Nothobranchius furzeri: one gene and its partners. The main gene of each other region encodes a partner of the protein of the gene in region 3 in a complex. Links are inferred from orthologs where the notes say so. Each region holds a gene or a part of one and is shown on either strand. Other genes may lie near its edges.

What was found. Proteins that work in one complex are often made in the same cells at the same time.
Region 1: polr3c (region 3) and crcp share a complex: the UniProt entries of both Homo sapiens proteins name them as parts of the RNA polymerase III complex. The link is inferred for Nothobranchius furzeri from reciprocal best matches to the Homo sapiens genes POLR3C and CRCP.
Region 2: polr3c (region 3) and polr3k share a complex: the UniProt entries of both Homo sapiens proteins name them as parts of the RNA polymerase III complex. The link is inferred for Nothobranchius furzeri from reciprocal best matches to the Homo sapiens genes POLR3C and POLR3K.
Region 4: polr3c (region 3) and polr3f share a complex: the UniProt entries of both Homo sapiens proteins name them as parts of the RNA polymerase III complex. The link is inferred for Nothobranchius furzeri from reciprocal best matches to the Homo sapiens genes POLR3C and POLR3F.

What each region holds. Positions count from the first base shown.
Region 1 is NC_091750.1:56,809,315-56,814,909, forward strand, and holds the start of crcp (DNA-directed RNA polymerase III subunit RPC9), read right to left. Parts: upstream 3,480-5,595; 5' UTR 3,365-3,479; coding exon 3,357-3,364; intron 2,576-3,356; coding exon 2,539-2,575; intron 2,443-2,538; coding exon 2,344-2,442; intron 2,258-2,343; coding exon 2,163-2,257; intron 2,051-2,162; coding exon 1,993-2,050; intron 1-1,992. UniProt on the Homo sapiens protein: DNA-dependent RNA polymerase catalyzes the transcription of DNA into RNA using the four ribonucleoside triphosphates as substrates.
Region 2 is NC_091745.1:3,876,008-3,880,729, forward strand, and holds polr3k (DNA-directed RNA polymerase III subunit RPC10), read right to left. Parts: upstream 2,448-4,722; 5' UTR 2,305-2,447; coding exon 2,194-2,304; intron 2,083-2,193; coding exon 1,995-2,082; intron 1,578-1,994; coding exon 1,450-1,577; 3' UTR 1,180-1,449; downstream 1-1,179. Other genes in the region: snrnp25 (U11/U12 small nuclear ribonucleoprotein 25 kDa protein), read left to right, coding at 2,774-2,995, 3,922-4,012, 4,154-4,259, 4,619-4,693. UniProt on the Homo sapiens protein: Core component of RNA polymerase III (Pol III) which synthesizes small non-coding RNAs using the four ribonucleoside triphosphates as substrates. Can mediate Pol I proofreading of the nascent RNA transcript.
Region 3 is NC_091745.1:77,810,280-77,815,932, forward strand, and holds the start of polr3c (DNA-directed RNA polymerase III subunit RPC3), read right to left. Parts: upstream 3,577-5,653; 5' UTR 3,449-3,576; intron 2,060-3,448; coding exon 1,913-2,059; intron 1,739-1,912; coding exon 1,474-1,738; intron 1,364-1,473; coding exon 1,071-1,363; intron 974-1,070; coding exon 869-973; intron 1-868. Other genes in the region: rnf115a (E3 ubiquitin-protein ligase RNF115), read left to right, coding at 4,303-4,380. UniProt on the Homo sapiens protein: DNA-dependent RNA polymerase catalyzes the transcription of DNA into RNA using the four ribonucleoside triphosphates as substrates.
Region 4 is NC_091746.1:29,574,985-29,580,517, forward strand, and holds the start of polr3f (DNA-directed RNA polymerase III subunit RPC6), read right to left. Parts: upstream 3,480-5,533; 5' UTR 3,344-3,479; intron 3,031-3,343; 5' UTR 2,882-3,030; coding exon 2,820-2,881; intron 2,411-2,819; coding exon 2,293-2,410; intron 2,215-2,292; coding exon 2,147-2,214; intron 2,072-2,146; coding exon 2,004-2,071; intron 1,924-2,003; coding exon 1,811-1,923; intron 1,631-1,810; coding exon 1,487-1,630; intron 1-1,486. Other genes in the region: dzank1 (double zinc ribbon and ankyrin repeat-containing protein 1), read left to right, coding at 3,771-3,879, 4,223-4,370, 4,459-4,561, 4,662-4,719. UniProt on the Homo sapiens protein: DNA-dependent RNA polymerase catalyzes the transcription of DNA into RNA using the four ribonucleoside triphosphates as substrates.

The sequences.
Region 1 (5,595 bases), on a different chromosome or scaffold from region 3:
ACGCTCTAGAGTTGCGAGCCGGCCACTCGTAAATTTTTAACCACAAAGAACCTAACGACAAGCTGGATAATAAACCTGTTGCAAGCTCCACCTGACGCAATGCTCCTTCAGAGTAAAAGCTGAACTCACTGACCCTTCAGGGTCCCGCTGACACTGTCAACCAACTGCCGCTTACCTGGGGGCATTCCAAGACTAGTCTGTCGTACCGTACGCTGTTTCACCGGCTTCGGTACCAAAGAGGGTCTGAGAACCTGGCATTCTGGATCTGCAACGGAGGTCTCCGCAAGGGTATGTAGCTCGGCAAGATAGCGTCTGAATGTGGTTTTTGAAACTCGACTATAGTTTAGAGCAAGCATTCGCTCCCACACAGAACTAAGGCTTCTCTGGAAACGAGAGTTCTGATAACAACATTCCACATTTACACCATCCATCTTGCCTCATTCACAACTAGATCCATTCATCACACAGAGTGTTAAGGTTGGTTTATGCTTGACGCGTCCGCGAGGTCTGCACGGCTCCGCGCGGCAAAATTGCGTCATTTTAACAACCACGCCCCTCCACCGCGTCTCCGCACAGCCCAAAATTTCTGCAACGCGCACCTAGGGAAAATTTCTAACCACGCGGACGGTCGGACGTGGAAAAACATGGCGGACCGGCTAGAACTAGTATGGCAGAGGTTCGTAAATACAGACATTTGTATGATTTAGCTCTCAAAGATCACCGTGATCAACATGTTGTTAATCATTCTTGGAGAGAAATAGCTCGCACTGTCAGAAAAGACGAGGACGCTGTTAAAAATGCTGAAATGCCATGTTGTAAATAGTAATTTTTACTTCTACTATGGTGTAGTGTTAGATGCATGCCGTAGAGCTCCATGTTGCCCCGTTCAGTTTGGGAGAATATTGGCTCACCGCAGAGACAAGCCGCACGAACCATAAACGCTGCGAGTTGTGAAGCGCGTTCCATCCGCGAGCCGCATCACCAAGCGGAAAGTGAATGCGTCAAGCATAAACCAAGCTTTAGAGTTAAAGTTAGAGTTAGCCTTGTTTTAAATTGTTTAGAAATAAATCTTCTTAAACTTTAAAACTTGTCTCTCTCTTTGACTCTGGGTTATTACAAATTATTACCTAATCCCTGCAATAAAAAGTTCATATCTTCTGATTAAAGGTAGTATTCAAAGATACATCAAATTGATTCCATATTTTCTAAGGAATCTCACCTTTGATGGTTTCCTACGTAAGAGATGTAACTATCGATACACTACAACAGCAATGCGACTCTACCACTGATTATCATCTCCACAAGTAACACAAGCCTGGAGGAGCTTTTGCTGTGTGGTGGAGTTGCTAATGGTTAGCTTCTACTAGCTGAGACATTCTCTGCCGTTTCCTGGACGCTAAGCCAACAACAGCCTTCTCCGTCATGAATCAAGATGAGTGAGTCCATTAATGTTAAGTGACAGTGTGACTTAGATCTGTCAGGCTTTTCTAATCCTAGAGTTTCACCGTCTATTTTCCATCCGAAGCTAATGCAGCAGATAGACGTAGGAGACTATTTTCATGTTCAGCCTGCATGAAAAACTCAGAGACCGATTATAATCAGAAATATTCACTAAAAGTGTTCCACACCTTTAAAAGAACCACTTTTTTATAATTAACAAAGGATAAAATAGCAGCTAGTTCAAATGCCACGCACCAAACTCTTAGCGTGATTAAAATTAAAAAAATAATATTTTCCTTGTGTTGCGATACATTTTTAAAGTTTAAATTCTGTTTTGGGTGTCTTGATTCAACAAAAACATTTAATTTCCACAGTGTGTGTTTATTTTTTACTCAGTCTAGGTCTGAATGCTATTTAATATTTCTCAATCAAAGATTAAAGAAACTGCAGAGCTGGCAGGCAGAGCTACTGTGGATTTCACCGGTTATTACTGGTAGCCTGGTAGGTTGGGTTGCGTTTTGCACAAATTTTAACAAATTTAACGAGACTCACTAGCTGAATTTCTACTGCAGTTTGAGGTCGGTGGTTCAACAGCTGAAGTTTTTCTGCCCTGATGATGACAAAAACAAATCAGATTAACAGAAAAAGGCTAAATGTTAAGACAATGTCCATCGTATCAACACAACTAAATCAAAATAAAATGTTTATTAGATCTCACTGACTTTGTGAGTTTGTGGGGCATCATGGTGGTGAGGAACTCCTTGACAATCTCAGGACTTTGTCTGCTGGACGGCGTCTTCGACAGGTACTTAAGTGTCTGATGGCGAACCCACAGGAGATTATGTTTGTAATAAATATGACCAAAACATTTATATAAATGCAGGAAGAGAGATGTGACCTGACCTCATACATGATAGTGTTGAGGTTCTGCTGCCCGGCACTGTGTTTGCTCTTCCCCCCATCTTTCCTCTGTTCCTTCAGATCTATGAGAAGTTTGAACACCTGAGCAGTAAAAAAAAAGAAAGTAAAAGTTACAAACTGATCTGTTTGACTGAACAGTGAATAACACGTCATGCGAGGGTAAACCGACTATATTACCTCATAGTTGCTGAGCATTGCAGCACTTGAATTTTTGCTGAAAACACAAAAAGTTGAAAGTTTTGAATTGATGTAGTTGTTATGAGCTGCATGGAAGGGAGGAGCTGGTGCTGCTGCCTCACAGCGAAAAGGTTGCAGGTTCGAATTCCAGCTGCAGCCTTTGTGGAGTTCTCCACTGCATGCGTGTTTTCTCTGTATGGATACTCTGTTTCCTCCCACAGACCAAACGCATGCATCTCAGGTTAACTGTTGACTCTAAGTTGTCTCTACCTGTGAGTGAGTGCATGTGTCTCTGTGATGGACTAGAGAGCTGTCCCCTGTCCACCATCAACTCGGAATATAGAGGAATGAACAGTTAAGATGATTAATGCGTTTTTTGTCTCCATGTGGGTTAAGAAATTAAACCTATAAAAATGCAGTCGAGAGTAAAATATTATTCTGACCATTTACGAATCGTTTAGTAAAAATAAATAAATAAAAATCAGCTAAAAGTTTCATTTAAAAGAATTAAAAAGACTTTAGAAAAAAAGTCTTCAGTCATAACAAAAGGACCGTGTTGTTTGGCTTTAATGGTTAATACTGACTCGTTTTTTGTTTTTAAATTTTAATAAGCTAGGATGAACAGTTTTTCGTCCCAGACCGAACTGAAAATGTGTCTCTGCTGTTTCGCTAGCTCTGTTCGCTTTCATCCATCAATAATAAACCAAAAACTGAAAACTACGGCTTATAGTTGTTGTTAAAAACACAATTCACAACAGCTACTTAGCAAAGTCTCTTGCTAAAATAAACTAAATGAAAGGTAAAAATGAAATCCTTACACTTCCATTTATGCGCCCGGAACTGCGGTACGTTGTTACACCTTCCGTGGGGAAACGGAGAGCATGGATAAAGGTTCCGCCGACACAAATGTGAGGGGAGAAAAAAGTCTCGAAAGGTCTGCTTGTGTGTGTGTGTGTGTGTGTGTGTGTGTGTGTGTGTGTGTGTGTGTGTGTGTGTGTGTGTGTGTGTGTGTGTGTGTGTGTGTGTGTGTGTGTGTGTGTGTGTGTGTGTGATCGACAGGCGGATTGGTTCGGCGTCTGCAGTGAGCCGATCTGTCGTGGTGAAGAGGGAGCTGAGCCAGATTTCCTAATCTAACAGATTTTAAACATTAAAATACTCAACAGAAATAGTTCAGAAAGGAAATTAAAATGTTCACAACTTTGTGTGTGATTTATTAGTATTATCATGAGTATTTATTGTGGCAGAAGCTGGTGTGGTCCACCACTGAGAAGCTTCTCTAACATGAAGACTTTATTCTACAGGTTATTGTTCAGCCTTCTGATGCGCACGCACACACACGAGTGTTGGTGAGCGGCTGCGTCTGACTGCTGACGCTCCGTGTGTGTTTTTATTTTTGCAGTGAGACAAACTCACCTCACGCCGTCCAGAGTTTGTTCTTTAAAGCTTCTATTAAATCCACCGTGTTGATGATTTTAACACGTTTCCTCTACGCTGCAGGAGTTAAAGTTTACATTACGGAGTAAAAGTTCGGCGGACACGTTTGTTTATATTTGGCCGCTGCGCGCCAGGTGGGGGGAGGGGGGACTCGGTACTGCACACAGAAAGCTGGTGTGATCAGATCTGAAAAGCGTTGGTAGATCACGTTTATTTTTCACGGAGATCAGCTGCGGATTCCTCTTCCGTCGGCATTCTAGGAATCGAAACTTGGAATCTAAATAAAAAAATTTGAACGATTCCGGGAAAAACTAACAGTTGGTCCCCGTTCCAATCGATGCTCGATGCCCAACCCTAAATTGACTAATAATTTTTGTACTTGTAAACTGATCTGTGTGTCCTGTAGACTTGTCCGTGTGTACCAGGTGATTTGTGTGTGTGTGTGTTCAATGATTGTATGTGTAAGAACTGAATTTACACACAAAAATATAAACACAAGTTACAAATCAAGAGTTACACACACAAAAATCTTTAGTTACGCACACACAAATGTAGATAAACACACACAAATCTAGATACACATAAACAAATCTAGATACACACATACAGATCTTTTGAGACTTTTGTCCTCCCCATACAAACATGAGGTTTTTGCTGCACTCTTATGTCCTTGTGGCAGCAAGCAGCAGAGATCCCCCCCCCCCCCCCCCCCCCATTGGGTCTGTTCCATCTTTCATGATCTTGTGGTGGTATGATCTCGTTGACAGGCTCTGGTCTTGTGCTGCTATCAACAATCCTTCAGTTTCTGCCTTCAGTCCTGCACTGCGTAGCCACTGATATGATCTTGTTCTACGTCTGCTTTTTTTTACTCTCAAGGGGTATTGTCCATGCATTGGCTTTTCCTCCCATGTTTCTCTCATCCTCTTTTGGGCCCATTTCTTTGCCTCCCTTTTGGTCCTCTTGGCAAAGCTTGTTATGGTTTCTTTCTCTTTTCTTGCCACATCTGGGATGTTTAGTTCCTGTGCATGTCTTATAGCTTCTTTTGTAACAGAGTACAGCTTCTTGCGAGCTTCATGTTGACAAACGAGGATCAGTAGGGCATTGTCTGTTGTTTCAAGGTAGGTTTTCAATGCCATTGTTGTTGTTTAGTAAGCCATCTCAAGTTGGGTAAGTCCTCTGCCTCCAATCTGTCTTGGTAGATACATTATTTCAACATCCGGTTTTGGGTGGTGCATTCTTTCAGATGTCAGCAACTTTCTGGACTTGGTGTCTAGTTTCTTTACTTCTTTAAGTTGCCAGTTGATGATGTTAAAACTGTATGTAACCGTTGGAACAGCTGAAGTGTTGATGGCTTTGATCTTATTTGCAGCATTAAGTTCACTCTTGATAACAAGCCTGACTCTTCTGTAGTACTCTTTTTTGACTTTTTTCTTTCATGGTAGCATGTTGTATTCCATCTCCTTCATTGACCCCAAGATATTTGTATGTATCCTCTTGACTGAGCTTCATTATGACAGTCTCTTGGTCCAATTGTATGTTTGAAGTTGATGTGAGTTTTCCCTTTTTTAATGTAGCCTTTGCACATTTGTCAAGTCCAAATTGCATGCAGATGTCATCACTGAA
Region 2 (4,722 bases), about 74 Mb from region 3:
GTCAGTGTATGAAGAATGTTGGGTTAAGATGTTTGTTTGTTTTGAGACTTTCATCTTAGATGTTTTATCCTTTAACAAGTTTGTTGAGAAATGTTAACATTTTGTCTCTCACTGTTTTTTTGTTCTTACCTACCTAGTTGTTTCTTGTTTATCATTATCGTTGGTGTAATGTGAAAACCGTCCATTTAAACAAATACATTTATGTTTTATGCTTTAGTTACTTGTATTCATTACTCCAATCAACATGTTCTGATTCACTGTTTAGCTGTTACCTTTGTCCCCGTCTGTAGTTTTGAGAATAAAGTTAATATTTGCACTTTATAAGTTTAAACACACATTTTGTTTTCATTAAAACACGATTTTACCCTGAATAAAAGCAAAGTTTTATCCAGGTGTTACTAGTTTCTGTAGTCGACCGAGTTATGAGCCATATTCAGACTTTTGGGCCATTCCCATCTGTGCCGGGTCGGGTAGCCCCAGTCGGCCCCAGCCTGGCCCGGTTGATTCCACACATCCTTGCCTTAAGCCCATGTGGGCTGATTCTACCCACCAATCAGAGGCTTGCTCTAATGGAAGGTGTGAAGTTGCTGTCAGCAGTGGGTGTGTTGGCCCTGGTCGGCCTGAAGCAGACCCCCTCGAGAAGAGGGCTGAGAATGAGCCTTGGTTGGCCCGGAAAAATACCAGGCCACCCAGATATGTAAACAACCTACGCTACCCGGCCCGGGCCGACCCGGTACAGATGGGAATGGTCCACAAGTGTACTGAAGGCGATAGACAAGCTAATCACTTAAAAACGAAAGCATGACATCTTGGTGTGTGTTTTTCTGTCAGGCTCATGCAGCACCATTTCAGATTTAGCTGATCTTAAGAGGTTTTAAAAACTGAGTACTAAGCCATTAAGGATTCACCTAAATGAAGGTTCTTCGCTTAGATGAAATGAAATACATTTGATTAGTGAGATTTTAATGAGCTTCATGAAGTTGTTGAATTAGACCTTTTGCAAAAGTGATTCTGAACACTAACAGTGAATCATCTCAGCATGTGGGATACATCAGCCACTAATGCTTCTCGCAGTTTGCCTGGGCTATACCTTTAGTAATAATCATTGATGTGCTCCGACTCTGTGCATATTTTTTTCCTCAAGACTGAAAAATCTGTGCAAAATATAAAACAAAAAAACACATTTTGTGAAGGATTGTAATGGAACTTTAGTCATGTTGTGAAAACTGCTGGTCTGCATCGCTCCAGATGTCTGATGTACAACTATGTACGCAATTTATGTGACTGTACACAGGCGCTATTTTACCAATAAAAATCATGAAGTAAACACTTTGTCATGTGGAACATTTATCACAACTGGAAAGTAAATGGTGCAAATAAATACAGAAGAAAAGGAAAACCAGGCCAGAAATCATCTGAACATTTGAAATAACTACAAGTAGAAAACTTTCAGTCTCTCCATCGATGTCCACACTGGGCATTACAGCATTTGTAGAAAGTTGTCATGGGTTCATCAGCAGATCTGGTCTGAATCTGCATGAAATACGCCCGAGGATGCTCACACTTGGGACATTTTTCTGTACAGAGATAGAGAAGGAATATGTCAGCTTAGAGGCCACACCGGTATGTACCATCTTATACCCCAAATACCTCTGGTATGTCCAGGTTTTAGTTTAAGAATGTTAATCTTAAGAAATCACTAATCCTGTTTAAGGATCATGAATTGTTTTAAGGAGATAAATAATAGTTTATTAAGCATCTAGCCAATTCTACTATGACCTAAATAAAGATACAGGATATCAGGATTGTTGAATGGTTTGGCTTGAACAAAAAGAAAAACTGAAAATCCTGGATTAATCCGTTTGTATAATTGAAAATTGGAAGTACACTTTTCTCATTTTAGGCGTTAAAACACTTTAATTACTTAACTAAAACTAAAGAATATGCTAAACATTTGTATGCAGACTCCAGGAAGTCATTTTAATGTTATTTACCTGCAGTTGAATCCACGTTCTCCCACGCAGCAGCCCCACCGAGAACATCATCCACCTCCTTTAATTTGGGATACTTTCGGTTGTTTACCTTCAAGAGAAATAAAACAAGACCTTAAACTTACAAACCTAACGACAAATATTTTGTGTTTCTGACACCAACTAGATGATGAAACCTGGTTTAGTTACGGGTGACTCCTACCTTTCTTGTGATGTTGTGTATGTAAGGACAGGTGTTACACGCGAACCTCATACACTTCTGTCCTTCTTCTACGATCAAAACGTTTCCACAGGTAGGGCAAAAGAGTAGCATTTTAAATGTAATCAATTTGGTCGCAAACCATCAACTAAATGGAATCTAAATGTGATTTCACCAGAAACCATCTGCTGCGTAGAGAAAACCGGAAGTCGACTGATGAAAACAGCTCGAACGGAAACAACCGGAAGTCGCTAATCGTTTAAACAACATGCCTAATTGTATGTAAACAATTCTATATTAAAATGAATGTTATTAATTTATGATAAGAATACGTATTTATCAAATGTTAACGCAGCTGTTCATTTTTATTTTCATCAAGTGGAACCTTTTACATAAGGTCCATTTCCGTTCCGGTAGTTTGTTTGTACTGCACACAGTTACATACGGGCTTTTGCTGTTCTAATTCTTCTTTTTTAGCAGCAGTTTTGAAGTAAACCTGTAATTGTTGTCCAGGTAAATTGTATCCAGACGACGTTTTCTAGCAGGAAACCCGGAAGGTACCCAATAGCTGGATGATTATCGGATGGAGGAGGAGCAGAGTCCAGGTTCTGCTGTAGTCAAAGGAGGTGAAGGAGCGCAACTAGTGCAGGATGAGGAGGTGAAAAAGGAGAGCTTCCTAAACGAGGCAGCTGCTGAGGAGGAGGACGATGAAGATTCTCTCCCTCACTCTGAGATCCTGGATATTTTTGAAGAAGGACTTGCTCGACTTGTGCAGGACCCTTTACTCTGCGACCTGCCAATCCAGGTGTTATTTCTGAGTGCCCTCAGTTACTCTGAAGGAAAACGTGTGTTGTCACCTTTATTTGAGATTCACTCATTGGAGCTGGTCTATTTTATTTTTAAAGTCCAATGACGATTGTAGAAGATATTTGGGCCAGGATTATACTTTTGTAGGATTTAGTAAATCACACTGTTACAATATCGTTGGGTATTGCGATGACGATAACAGTTGTGCTAAATCCTCATTTTCCTCACTCTGTTACCACACATCACTCACCACTGGTGTGTTTTCAGCAATAGCATTAAGGAGATTCAGTCACATGAACATGTCCCCATCTACTGTGAATCAAGCTGTTTTTGTGTGCCACTGAAGCAGTCACAGTGATGATGTTTTGTGATACATTGTGCAGCTTTTGTTACTTTAGTCAAAAGTTTGGACACACACCTCACCTGCAATTTCCAAACAGTCTATTTAGATACCTATTAAAACTCAAATGGATCCCATTTGCACTACAAAGTGTTTATGAATCAATTTGCAAGCTTCCAATGGAGTAAAAACAGCAGATCACTGCATATTACAGTTTTTATTAGAGCAAAGACAAAATTATCTCCCCAAAGTCCTTGCTGATGTCTCTTCTTGCTTGTATGTTAAAGCTGTGTGATTTGTACTCTGTCCTAATATTGGTTACACAAGAGGACAGCAGTAGAAGTATTAGCTCACGTCTACCTTGTGCATTTTGTTAGGTCAATAAAGTATATTCAAAATATTTCACTGTATTTTGCTCAACTTGTCAAAGTATTTCCAAATTTAAGACCAGCAATAAATCTTCATAATCTAACAGCAAGTCCTCTCAGGGTTGTGAGCTTTTCTAGATGATGATGGTCTGATGTGTGCAGAGAAATGGTAATCGGTGGCGTCAATTTTAATGTTTTTTTTTTCTGTACCATCAGGTCACACTGGAAGAAGTAAATTCTCAGATAGCTTTGGAGTACGGCCAGGCGATGACTGTGAAGGTCGTGAAAGCAGATGGTGAAATCATGCGTAAGTGTTGCTTTTTCATTGTTTTATTATTTCTTTTTTATCAACTTTCTATTTTTTGTTATTAGATGATTGAAAATTATAGCCTGACATCTACTATTCTCATCACACTTACTTTTTTTTATTTATTATATTTAAATGAAGCCATAGTTGTAGTCCAAAACGCTTCAGTCCTGGACCTGAAAAAGGCCATTTGCAGATTTATGGAGTTGAAACAGCAACGGGAGGGAGGAATAAAACATATCAGCTGGTAAGAATATTTAAGTAGACAAGGAAATAAAATGCATTCAATATATATATATATATATATATATATATATATATATATATATATATATATATATATATATATACATATATTATATATACATACACACATATATATATATATATATATATATATGTATGTATGTATGTATGTAATATATATATATATATATATATATATATATATATATATGTATGTATATATAATATATGTATATATATAATATATGTATGTATGTGTATATATTTATGTATGTGTATATATTTATATATATATATGTGTGTGTATGTATGTATGTGTGTGTGTGTGTGTGTAATATTATTGTATGTGTATTATCTCAGGAGATATGTTTGGAGAGCCTATCATTTAGTATTTGAGGGTGTGAAGCTTGAAGATGACACCTTGAGACTAAAAGAGTGAGTATATAAAATTAAACCTTAGATAT
Region 3 (5,653 bases):
TGAGCCGATCTGTCGTGGTGAAGAGGGAGCTGAGTCAGAAAGCCAGGCTCTCGATTTACCGGTCGATCTACGTCCCAATCCTCACCTATGGTCATGAGCTTTGGGTAATGACCGAAAGAACGAGATCGCGGATACAAGCGGCCCAAATGAGTTTCCTCCGTAGGGTGGCCGGGCTCAGCCTTAGAGATAAGGTGAGGAGCTCGGACATTCGGGAGGGACTCGGAGTAGAACCGCTGCTCCTCCGGATCGAAAGGAGTCAGTTGAGGCGGTTTGGGCATCTGGTCAGGATGCCTCCTGGACGCCTCCCTGGGGAGGTGTTTTGGGCATGTCCTGCCGGCAGGAGGCCTCCGGGTCGACCCAGGACACGTTGGTGAGGTTACATCTCCAATCTGGTCCGGGAACGCCTTGGGGTCCTGCCGGAGGAGCTGGTGGAGGTGGCCGGGGAGAGGACGGTCTGGAGCGCCCTAGTTGGGATGCTGCCCCCGCGACCCGGACCCGGATAAGCGGAGGAAGACGACGACCTTTTAAATGCAAAAGCTTTAAAAAGTGCTTCATCAAACACCTGAAACACAATAGTGACCAAGAGAACATAAATACAGCTACAACTATAATTAATCTCACTAATGCATGTATTAGTGAGATTTGGTTTCATTCATAAAAATATTGTTTTTTAGGGCTGGAGCCCGTTTACTGTTGATTATTGATTTTTTTTATCCAGTTTTGATGACTGACAGTTCTCTCTAAACACACAGAAACAACATAAAACATTTTAGTCATCCAGGAGAATGAATAAGCGTTTTGTAGGCACGTTCAACTCTTTTTTTTTTTTTATTCACTCGTATTTTTAGTCCTGAAGAGGAAGCCTGACCTGATCCAGTTTACTGGCCACGGCACTGATGATCACCTGGTCTCTGAAGTGCTGATGAAACCGCGTAAAGTTCACCTGCCAGTAGATCCCCTCGTCACCATGAGTCTGCACAAAAACACCAACCGTGTGTGATGATGATAAAAGCAGAAACAGAGAAATGTTGGAATGAATAAATAGGTGAAAAAAGAGAGTTGTTCCCGACTTCTGGCTCCATTTTGGCTCTTTTTGCGCTCCTTTGCTCTTCTCCCTCCTCGGTGGCGAGCTGGCGCTTTCCCCGCCCGACGAGGGTCACATGAGGCACCTTATAGCACTCGGAGAAGCTCTCTGGGTTGGGCAGGGTGGAGCTGGAGGCGGCTGCAGTGGGATTGGGGCCGGCTTGAGTGCTGCTGGCTGTCATTCCTGCTCCGTCCAACGGAGGGCAGCGCTGCAGGAAATGCGTCTCCACCAGTTTAGAAAAGACAGACGACACTTCGCTGTAATCAACGCTCTGCCCATCTGTAAGAACAACATAGACACTTGATGTCACGTAATATAAATCCTACTGAAACCTGAAAAACATTCAAAATCAAATCCAGATTTTTGTCTTTTTAAAATCAGACGCTGACCCTCCATGTTCTGACTGAGGCGGTCAGCGACTGTCTTGACCGTGCCGCTCATCGTCATGTGACCCCTCTGAAGCAGCTCCTCAACGATCAGCTCTCCGGTGTCACCGTACAAGGTTTTAGAGGTGTAGATGTAACGTGGGTATCGCAGAATCCTCAGAATGCAATCGCAGCTTGCCTGATACTCTGGGGGGCTGCCGGGTCCCTTTCGACCAGAGATGAACGAACACGCTCCGTGATGCATAAGCACGCATAAAGACTTCTTTACCTTTAAAAACAAAGGCAAAAGCAGCATCTGTACTGTGTGATTAAAAATCATTTATAGTGTAAAACTGTCCAATAAATCAACTCTACTTATCTAAAATACATCACCACCAACAATTAGCTGCTAAGCAAATATATTCTCAGTATTAACCAGCAGAAAGAAGCTTGTCATTTGTACCAGGTCCGCTGAGACTCCAGTTTCATGAACAATGGCTCGTAAATGTTGGCCACCACTTCTGAGCAGGTGTGTTCCCACTTTCTCCACCACCTCCCCGAAATGCTCTCGCATCAGAAGACCACACAGTCGTACCTCCTGGGCTGTCATCTGCAAAAACATACAATATAAATAAGATCCACAAGTAAACGGGTCAGGGATGAGGTCCTGCCCCAAGTGGAGGAATTTAAGTATCTCGGGGTCTTGTTCACGAGTGAGGGAAAGCTGGAGCGTGAGATCGATAGGCAGATTGGTGCTGCGTCTGCAGTGATGCGGGCGTTGTACCGGTCTGTCGTGGTGAAGAGAGAGCTGAGTCGGAAGGCGAAGTTCTCGATTTACCGGTCGATCTACGTTCCTACCCTCACCTATGGTCATGAGCTTTGGGTAGTGACCGAAAGAACGAGATCACGGATACAAGCGGCCGAAATGAGTTTTCTCCAAAGAGTGGCTGGGCTCTCCCTTAGAGATAGGGTGAGAAGCTCGGTCATCCGGGAGGGGCTCGGAGTAGACCCGCTGTTCCTCCACATCGAGAGGAGCCAGTTGAGGTGGCTTGGGCATCTGGTCAGGATGCCTCCTGGACGCCTCCCTGGTGAGGTTTCCCGGGCACGTCCAACTGGGAGGAGGCCTAAAGGTAGACCCAGGACACGGTGGAGGGACTATGTCTCTCACCTGGCCAGGGAACGCCTTGGGATTCCCCCGGAGGAGCTGGCCCAAGTGGCTGGGGAGAGGGAAGTTTGGACCTCTCGACTTAGGCTACAGCCCCAGCCACCCGACTCCAGATAAGCGGATGAAAATGGATGGATGGAAGTAAACTGGTTTTATTTATGTTACAGGTTTTGTAGAAGAATTCCTGTATTTTATTGTAGATGAAGCAAAACAGTAAATTAGATGACATCACCTATATCACGATAATAAAACCCACGGAAGCAGCACCAGATTAGCAGAACATTTTATAAAAGATGCTTTTCATGAAACAGATTGAAAACAAAATAATCAGTGTAATATGAACCAACAGTTGATCAAAATAAACAAACTAATTAAATGACAAAATGACTGTACCAAGTTGTGAGGAAAGTACTGAATATTGTGTATGTGGTTGGCTTAAATAGGTAAATTAGTATGATTTATTATCAACATCTTAACAGAAATTAACCTATTGCAAGAATAAAGTCATTTTATTGTATTTTATAAATTATATTTACTTTTTTGACAGGACACTAAAACACTAGTACACTTAAAGCATCACAAATCAATCACTAGCATCTTTAAACTGTGATGTTTCGGTTAAAAAAACACTAAAGCACCATAAAACAAAAGACAACATGTAAACTTCATCTAATATTAAATGTTAATTATGTTTTAAGCGTCTCTGATTAATGTCCACACCAGTGAAGCTAAAGTTGTATTAAGTGGATTAGCTTACAAGCTACTAGCGGCTAGCTCACCTGAAAGTAAAGAATTAGGAAAAATAAATACACGTAACTTATTTTTTTCACGAACCTTTTATTGCAGATGGGTTTCGGAGCAAACGTAGCTGTTGCCTTCATGCATCGACTTTTTACACATGCGTCTCTTCCATCACAACACACAGACACTTCCGGTAAAAAAGACACTTCCGCTCTCTGGGTCTTCCCTCCAGGATTTGGCTGCAGTGCAGCGCCCCCTGTCGAGCTGGAGATCGTTTGGTTCAGGCAAGTTGTTGTAGCATATAATTAACCACATCCCATTTTTTTCATTTGGAATTTAAATAAAAAAAAATTTGTTCATGAATTGCATTTTTAGTTATCAGAATAAACAACTGAAATTTCAAGCGCTCGACGTGTTAATAAGTTAGACAAAAAGTAAGAGGTACACAATCACACTGGGTGAAGTCAGTATTCATCAGTAAACATCTGCAGTTCCTTCCATGTATTTCAAAAGGTATATTTCACCTATTCAAAATCAACATTTCAAGAATCTCAAATACCTTTCCCAAATGTTAGGACAAACAAATTCCCATAGAAATTTAGTTTCCGGTTTAAAAAATCTAAACGTACTTTGCTGTCGAACAACTTTTGTTAGAATAATAATTTGTTTCTCAAAACTGGAATTCCCACTAGAGAACAATGTGCAGATTTCAAGGTCTTGAATACCGTGGTAACTCTGAAATATTTTAAATTTTCATATGATTTACTGCTATCATAAAGACGTTTTTATTATTAAACGTTTTAAAACAACTTATAATCATTTTGGAGGATATGAAAATGCATATGATAAATATCAGAATTATCACTTATTATATGATGAACCGGCTTGCCATAAAGTGTCTTTTGGTTGTAAAGGACCAACGTCACTAGTTGTGCTGCTTGGGGAAGATGGCGGAGGCCGCGCCTGTTCCCCCGCATCGGTTTTTCTGTCACTGTTGTAAGGGAGAAGTAAATCCTAAACTCCCGGTAAGTCCGGTGTTTTTGGTTAGTCATGTGTGATATATTCCACATCGTGCGCGACTGACAACACCGCTGCTCGACCAATAGCAGTTAGTTTCGCCTGTCTGCTACAGCTAAACCGCCGCTAGCTTGTTAACAGCTAGCAACGGTTGTTGCTGTTAACTCTCTGAATTAAACGGTGCCTAATTTGTTTTTACTTGAGGTAAACGCTGGGTTATAAACTTGACACTGTCAAGTTTTGTTCTATTCGTGTGTCTACGCGTAATTGTGTCAAAACTCAGGGCCCGAAGCTTCAGGTTTCCCACTGTGAATGTGTTGTGAGCGTATTTTCCACCGAACAAGACCTGAACACGGATTGTCTGGACCATTAAAGCCAAGACGACATATTTAAAACTCAGCTGAGAGACAGTGGACTAGTTTTGTTTTCAGTGTTTGTTTCTGGTCAAATATACTGTTGGAATGACGAGTTCGGGGATTTTTCATGGACTTAATGTTTAGTTTCATTTGTGAAGTCAAAGCAGCACTAGGTGCACTTTGTGACCTACACACTAGCCCTAATGAATACTTGGTAGAAGATACTAGTTTTAACAAGATTTAATGTAATTTTATAGAAGTGTGTAAACACTAACCTTGTTCAGCTTCAGAAAAATGCATCACACTTGTTTTAAGGAATATTCACACAAGTTAATCTCAACTTCAGTTGCTGATTATTTTTTCTGTCTTAAATGAAAAATATTATTTTGTTTGTTGGTTTAAATAAATTGAACTCATGTTAAAATTTACAACCACATCGCAAATCAAATATGACAATAGTTATTTTCTCATCCAGTCTAATGAATAAATGCTTATGGAAGAAAATCCAATGTTTAAAGAGAAGAACAGAAACGGATGAAGATTTGGATCTTGGGGTGTAAACGGTGACAGGAAAGGGGTCCAACAGCTTGAATTCTGTTATTTTATGTGTAAATTCTCACACCAATGAATTAAAATGAATGATAATACAATAATAAACGAGCAGCTTCTGTTTTCTTATTAGCTCTGCCCAGATTTTTATCTCATTTTCTGTACTTATGTTCTGTTGATCCAAAATCTTGTCTTCTTAGCATTTAGTCCTGTTATATTGCTACAGGGAGCTAATTTACTGCAACATGTAAGTTTATCACACTACACAGCTTTGGTGTATTCCAGTTTGTTTGTTTTTACTAGTCGAGTAATCAATTACAAAAAGACAAATCTGAGTTAATGACACATGAGTAGTTTTTTTGACTGCTGTGTGGTT
Region 4 (5,533 bases), on a different chromosome or scaffold from region 3:
AAAATGCAACAAATGCTGTTGCCTAGCAGACCGAGAGGGCGGAGCCGCTAACTAATACACACACACACAGGCTCACAACAACATTGTGACATCATATGGTACCAGCTAGTGATGTGTCGGTCGCGAACGAACCGGCCCTAAGAGCCGGCTCATCATTGGGAGCCGTGCCCCCCCCCCCCCCTTCCCTCTTGCTTTGGTGAAAGCTACAGGCGATTGGTCAGCATGTGTAACTGTGTGTCCAGACTGTCCACACACAGAGCAGTAGGGGCGGGGAAGAGGGAGGATCAGACTCAGACACACAGCAGAGCACATGCAGGTGGAGGGAGACGAGAGGGAATGAGGAGGAGGAAAAAGGTGAGAGAGAGAGAGAGAGAGAGAGAGACAGAGAGAGAGAGACAGAGACAGAGACAGAGAGAGAGAGAGAGAGAGACAGAGACAGAGACAGAGAGAGAGAGAGAGAGAGGGGAGAGCGCGACGAAGACGGTGAGAAAATGAGCGCCAGCAGTCGGAAAGTGGAGATTTCTTAAAGTGTTCAGTTATTAAATCCATAGAAATGATAAATATTTGATATATTGCTTTTTTTACATTAGTAAATTATTTTACATATAGTTTATCATCATTTTGGTTATAAATGTACTCCACGCAACAGAAAATCTGAGGAGCCACTTGGGAGCCGAAAGAGCCGGCTCTTTTTGGTGAGCTGAGCCAAAAGAACCGGCTCTCTAAAAAGAGCTGGAACTTCCATCACTAGTACCAGCTGAGGGTACCTCTTAGCCAATAGCGATGGCAGGTTTAAATTCAAATGCAGTGAAGAGTTTTTACCTGACAACGGTACTACACTGACAGTTTTAGGCAGAAAATTTAAATTTGAACTAAAATGCACTAAAGTGCAAAACTATTGACTACACGTGTCTGCAGCACGATTAGGCATGCATTTATATAGTTTATCAGCAAATAAAGCTGATTTGGGGGTGACTTGCTCTTTAAGAATTATTGGTAAAAATCAAAAACAAAAGACAGGATGCATTTTAGATGTTGCTTTTGTGTTTTCAGCTCTTTTGTATTTTTACTCCAAATTTGAATTTATTTAATTTAAATCTGCTAAATAAATCCTCTAAAACATTAATGTAACTAACATTTTTTATTCACCTGTTTTCCTTATTTAATTCCTAATTAATTTGGTGACTTGTTTGAATAACTTTGATTAAATATTTGATTTTATTGCAGTTTAGTACAAAAATAAGACTCAACAGGGTCAGGAATGTTGAGCATCAGCTGCGCTTTAGCAGGCAGGTGGGAAAAAAATTAAAATCAAGATGTTGGCAACAGAAAAACCCACATTGGATGATTTCCACTGCAGAAGTCATCCATATTTGTGGACAAGTTCAGGCTGTTGCTGAGGTGAACACCCATTTTTGTGCTCCTCTGCTGTTTTAGTGCACGCGTGTGTGTGTGTGTGTGTGTGTGTGTGTGTGTGTGTGTGTACCTTGCTCTGGAGGAATTTGAAGCACTGCTGGTTCAGAACTTCCACAAACTCTGACTCAAAGTCCTGGTCACTGTACCAGGCCCCACCTGTTACTGAGCGGTCTGGCTGCAGGTTGTACAGCATGTAAACCTTCTTCTTTGATGCCTACACACACACACACACACACACACACACACACACACACACACACACACACACACACACACACACACACACACACACACACACACACACACACACACACACACACACACTTTGATCACTAGTTAGAAAGCAATGCTCTGGTTTATGAACCGGCTACGTTTTTGTTCCGACAGCACTCACCGCCACAGACTTGACAGCTTTTATGAGTTTTTTGCTCTCGAGGTTCTTCAGGATCTTGTTGATCTCGGTCAGAGGGAGGTTGCTCTTAAAGCGGATGTCTCTGCTCCAGATTCCTGCAGCCACATTACACAGCCGTGATGTTCTAATCCGTTAGTGGTGAGCTGCATGTTTCTAGACATAAATAGGTTGGTACCTTTGTTTCCTGCATCTTCAATCACCTGATAGACCAGCTTCTCCTGGCTGTCTGAGCCTTTCATCTTACTGAAGCACAGAAAGGCGTTTCAGAGAGGCAGAACCAAACCACACAGGGGCCAGCGAGCAGATCTCAGGTCTTACCTGGACATCTGAGAGTCCTTTAGTCTGTACAGGAGACCTGAACTGTTCCTGAGAAGGTCCAGGTGACCCTATAATAGAATAGAACACCAGTTCAGATCATCCATCAGCATCACAGAGACCGACATGGGTCAGGTCCTCGAACCCACCAGGGCCAGCAGCTTGTTAATGGCCATGGCTCTCTGCTGAGGCTCCAGGTGAGGCATGTCGTTCTGGATCACCTGGTCTGTGATACCTTGAGGAAACTGCTGACACAGATCTTTGATCCTGGGTCACAGAAACAAGTTTAAACACATCAGAACGTCTTTTCACGTATGATTAACTTTTGTTTTTAAAGCAGTTTTCGCTTCAATCAGCTGCCTCCAATTCTCCTCTTATTTGCAACAAACTTATGTTTTATTTAACATGTATGAAAGCAATGCCTCTGTCCGTGTGCAAGACAGCAAACAGGTGTAACAGAACGATGGTGCAAATCTGGCAGCCACGTTGAAGACATGAAGTCTACTTTGGGACTTTCTTTTGACAAATAAACGAGTGAAGTGAATGCCGAAGTCTGAGTGAGCCTGTTCCCGTCCCGAAAACGGGTCCAAACTCAACTTGTCACCGATATGTGAGAGATTGTGGATGAGAAACGTTCAAATCGACCGAATGGACACAGAATCCGGTCCGTTCCAACCTGCTCTCCACCTCCGCGGGTTCCGTCTGGTTCATCTCCTTCTTCACCTTCACCTCCGCCATTCTGAACCGGTCGTGTGGCTCGTGTCCGAGCAGCGGCTCCGTTAAGGCGGTGATTCTGGTCCGCCACAATCAATCTCAGAGCAGGCGGTATCAAGATTGCCCTGGAGGGGTCCTTACAGATGTTTACCCAGCGGTAGGTGTCCGGAAAACTGCCCGTTCAAAAATAAATTAATTGAGATTCAGTTGAGCGGTTAAGTGAAAGACAAAAAAAATCTTATTTTAATCCTCAAAATTACTTCTCATTTTTTAATGTTTTTCAATTGAACCCACTTTTTATATTATTTTTACAATTTAAATAAAACGAGTTACTGAAACACCAGTGCCTACATTCAAATAAATCCAAGCGGAGAAAATTTCTCTAAACATTCATGAGATGCTAGTCCTGTCATTTCTAGGAACTTCTAAAGAGTGAACTTGTAGAAAGTTTCGCGGCAGCCCCGAGGGGCAGGCACTTGTGCTTACTCGTTCGTCTCAGACAGACTCTGTTGCCATGGTGACGTTGTATAAACGCTGCAGTTCTCAGAAGTGTCTCATCTCCCAGCCAGCTCGATGCGTCTGTATTCTTGAGCTCATAACCGTAAAAACGGTTCCGCTACACAACAAGAACTGTGCGGTACGGGAGCGGTAAACCGGTAGCCAGCGGAGGGCGCTGTCTAATGGCTGACAGCTGATTAATATCAGTGTTGAGACGTTATAACCTCTTATTTAGTACATTAGATTGCTATCCTGTTTTTTCAGATATCATCACGTCTCAGTGAGTTGTGACGGTCTAGCTGGACGTTTGTGAGCAGCACTTTTAAAACAAGGACTCAAAAAACTCAAGTTTTCTTTTCTGCTTTAACTGAAGAAGAAGAAACCCTGATCTCCTGATTTGTTGATATCCGTTACCATGGCAGCAGGAGCTGTTTTACCTCCACTTATCATTCCCATCATCTACCTGCCAACTCATCGAGCCAAGAAGCACATCGATACCACAACACCTGTCTCCATCCAGTCAGGTACCCCCCCCCCCCCCCCCCCCCACACACACACACACACACACACACACACACCACACACTTCTGTCCTCCATTCATCTATCTATCCATCCATTCATATTCTTTTGTTAATTTCACAACACACACACACAGCATGGATCTAGCTGGTTCCAGCTTTTTCTAGCAAGCTCTATCCGGTTCTAGCTGGATACAGGACGGATCTTCTGTGTTGCAGCAGATCTGAAGAAACTTCTGACTGAAGATACTTTGTGGTTGAATTATTGTCTTGCGACGAGGCTGATCGGGGTTTCTGCTAAATTTGCCACCTTGCAGCGCTGATCTAAACAACAGTTTGTGCGTGCAGACTCTGCAGGTGTGCTGATCTTCTATACGTTGGATGGGTCGAAGCCAGAGCTGGGGCAGAGAGGGGCAGCTGGCAGCAGCAGGAAGTACACAGAGCCCATCCTGCTACCTGCTGGTCGGGTGTCTGTCAAAGCTGTGGCTGTCACCAGGTAAACACTCACCTGATAACGAGTGACAGGAATAAAAGTAGCACTGCATCACTTCCTGTTTATCAGACCATAACTGTGTTTGATACAGTGATGGCAGACAGAGCTCTGTGGTGACCAAGGTCTTCTCAGTGGTTCAACTGGATTCAGGCAGCACTGTGGAGAACCAGAATAGTCTGCAGAACCACTTGAAGGTAAACACTCACCCGCTGCTCTGCATATTCCATAAACCCGTCCTCTATTTGTATGAAACTATCTGCCCTTGCTCATTCCTTCATTGTTCTGTTACTTCAGCCTGATGGAACTTGTGATTCTGCTGAGAAATCACTTGGTTCTCCACAAAGATCTGTAGGTAAGTACGAAAAGGTCCACTAGTACACACCTGCACCCAAACCAGGTTTAATCCATCCATCCATCCTAGTCTAATTTATTATTCATTCATTTTCTGAACTTCTTGCATCTGAGTGGAGTCTTGGGGACACACGGAGACAGATACCCAGCCACACGCTCACTCACACCTACGGTACAGGCCAAAGCTTTGGACACACCTTCTCATTCAATGTGTTTTCTTTATTTTCATGATCATTTACATAGATTCTGACTGAAGGCATCAAAACTATGATTGAACACATGTGGAGTCATGCACTTACCAAAAAAGGTGAAATAACTGAAAACATGTTTTGTGCGCTAATTTCTTAAAAAGGCCACCCTTTGCTCTGATCACCGCCATGGACGTGATTTTGGGGGGGGACAGGGGGGACATGTCCCCCCCACTTTTTCCAAAATCAAGTTTTGACCCCTGCACTTTTTACCATCCAAAAACAATATTACGCTATATTAAATTGACACTGGTTGAGCTCTAAGACCAAGCGGAAAACAGCCGTTTGTGTTGAAACCTGTTTCCCATTAGAGCATACTGTAAAGATCCCCCCCCCCCCGTGTCCCCCCCACTTCTCAAGTGAAAATTACGTCCATGATCACCGCTCTGATTACTCTTGGCTTTTGATGAGCTTCAAGAGGTTGTCACCTGAAATGGTTTTCCAACAGTCTTGAGGGACTACCTCTTGAAACTTGAACCCTGAGAATGAGAAGGTTTGTCCAAACACACTGAAGCATCACTTCATTTAATCATCATCATCAACTTGTATTTATAAAGCACATTTAAA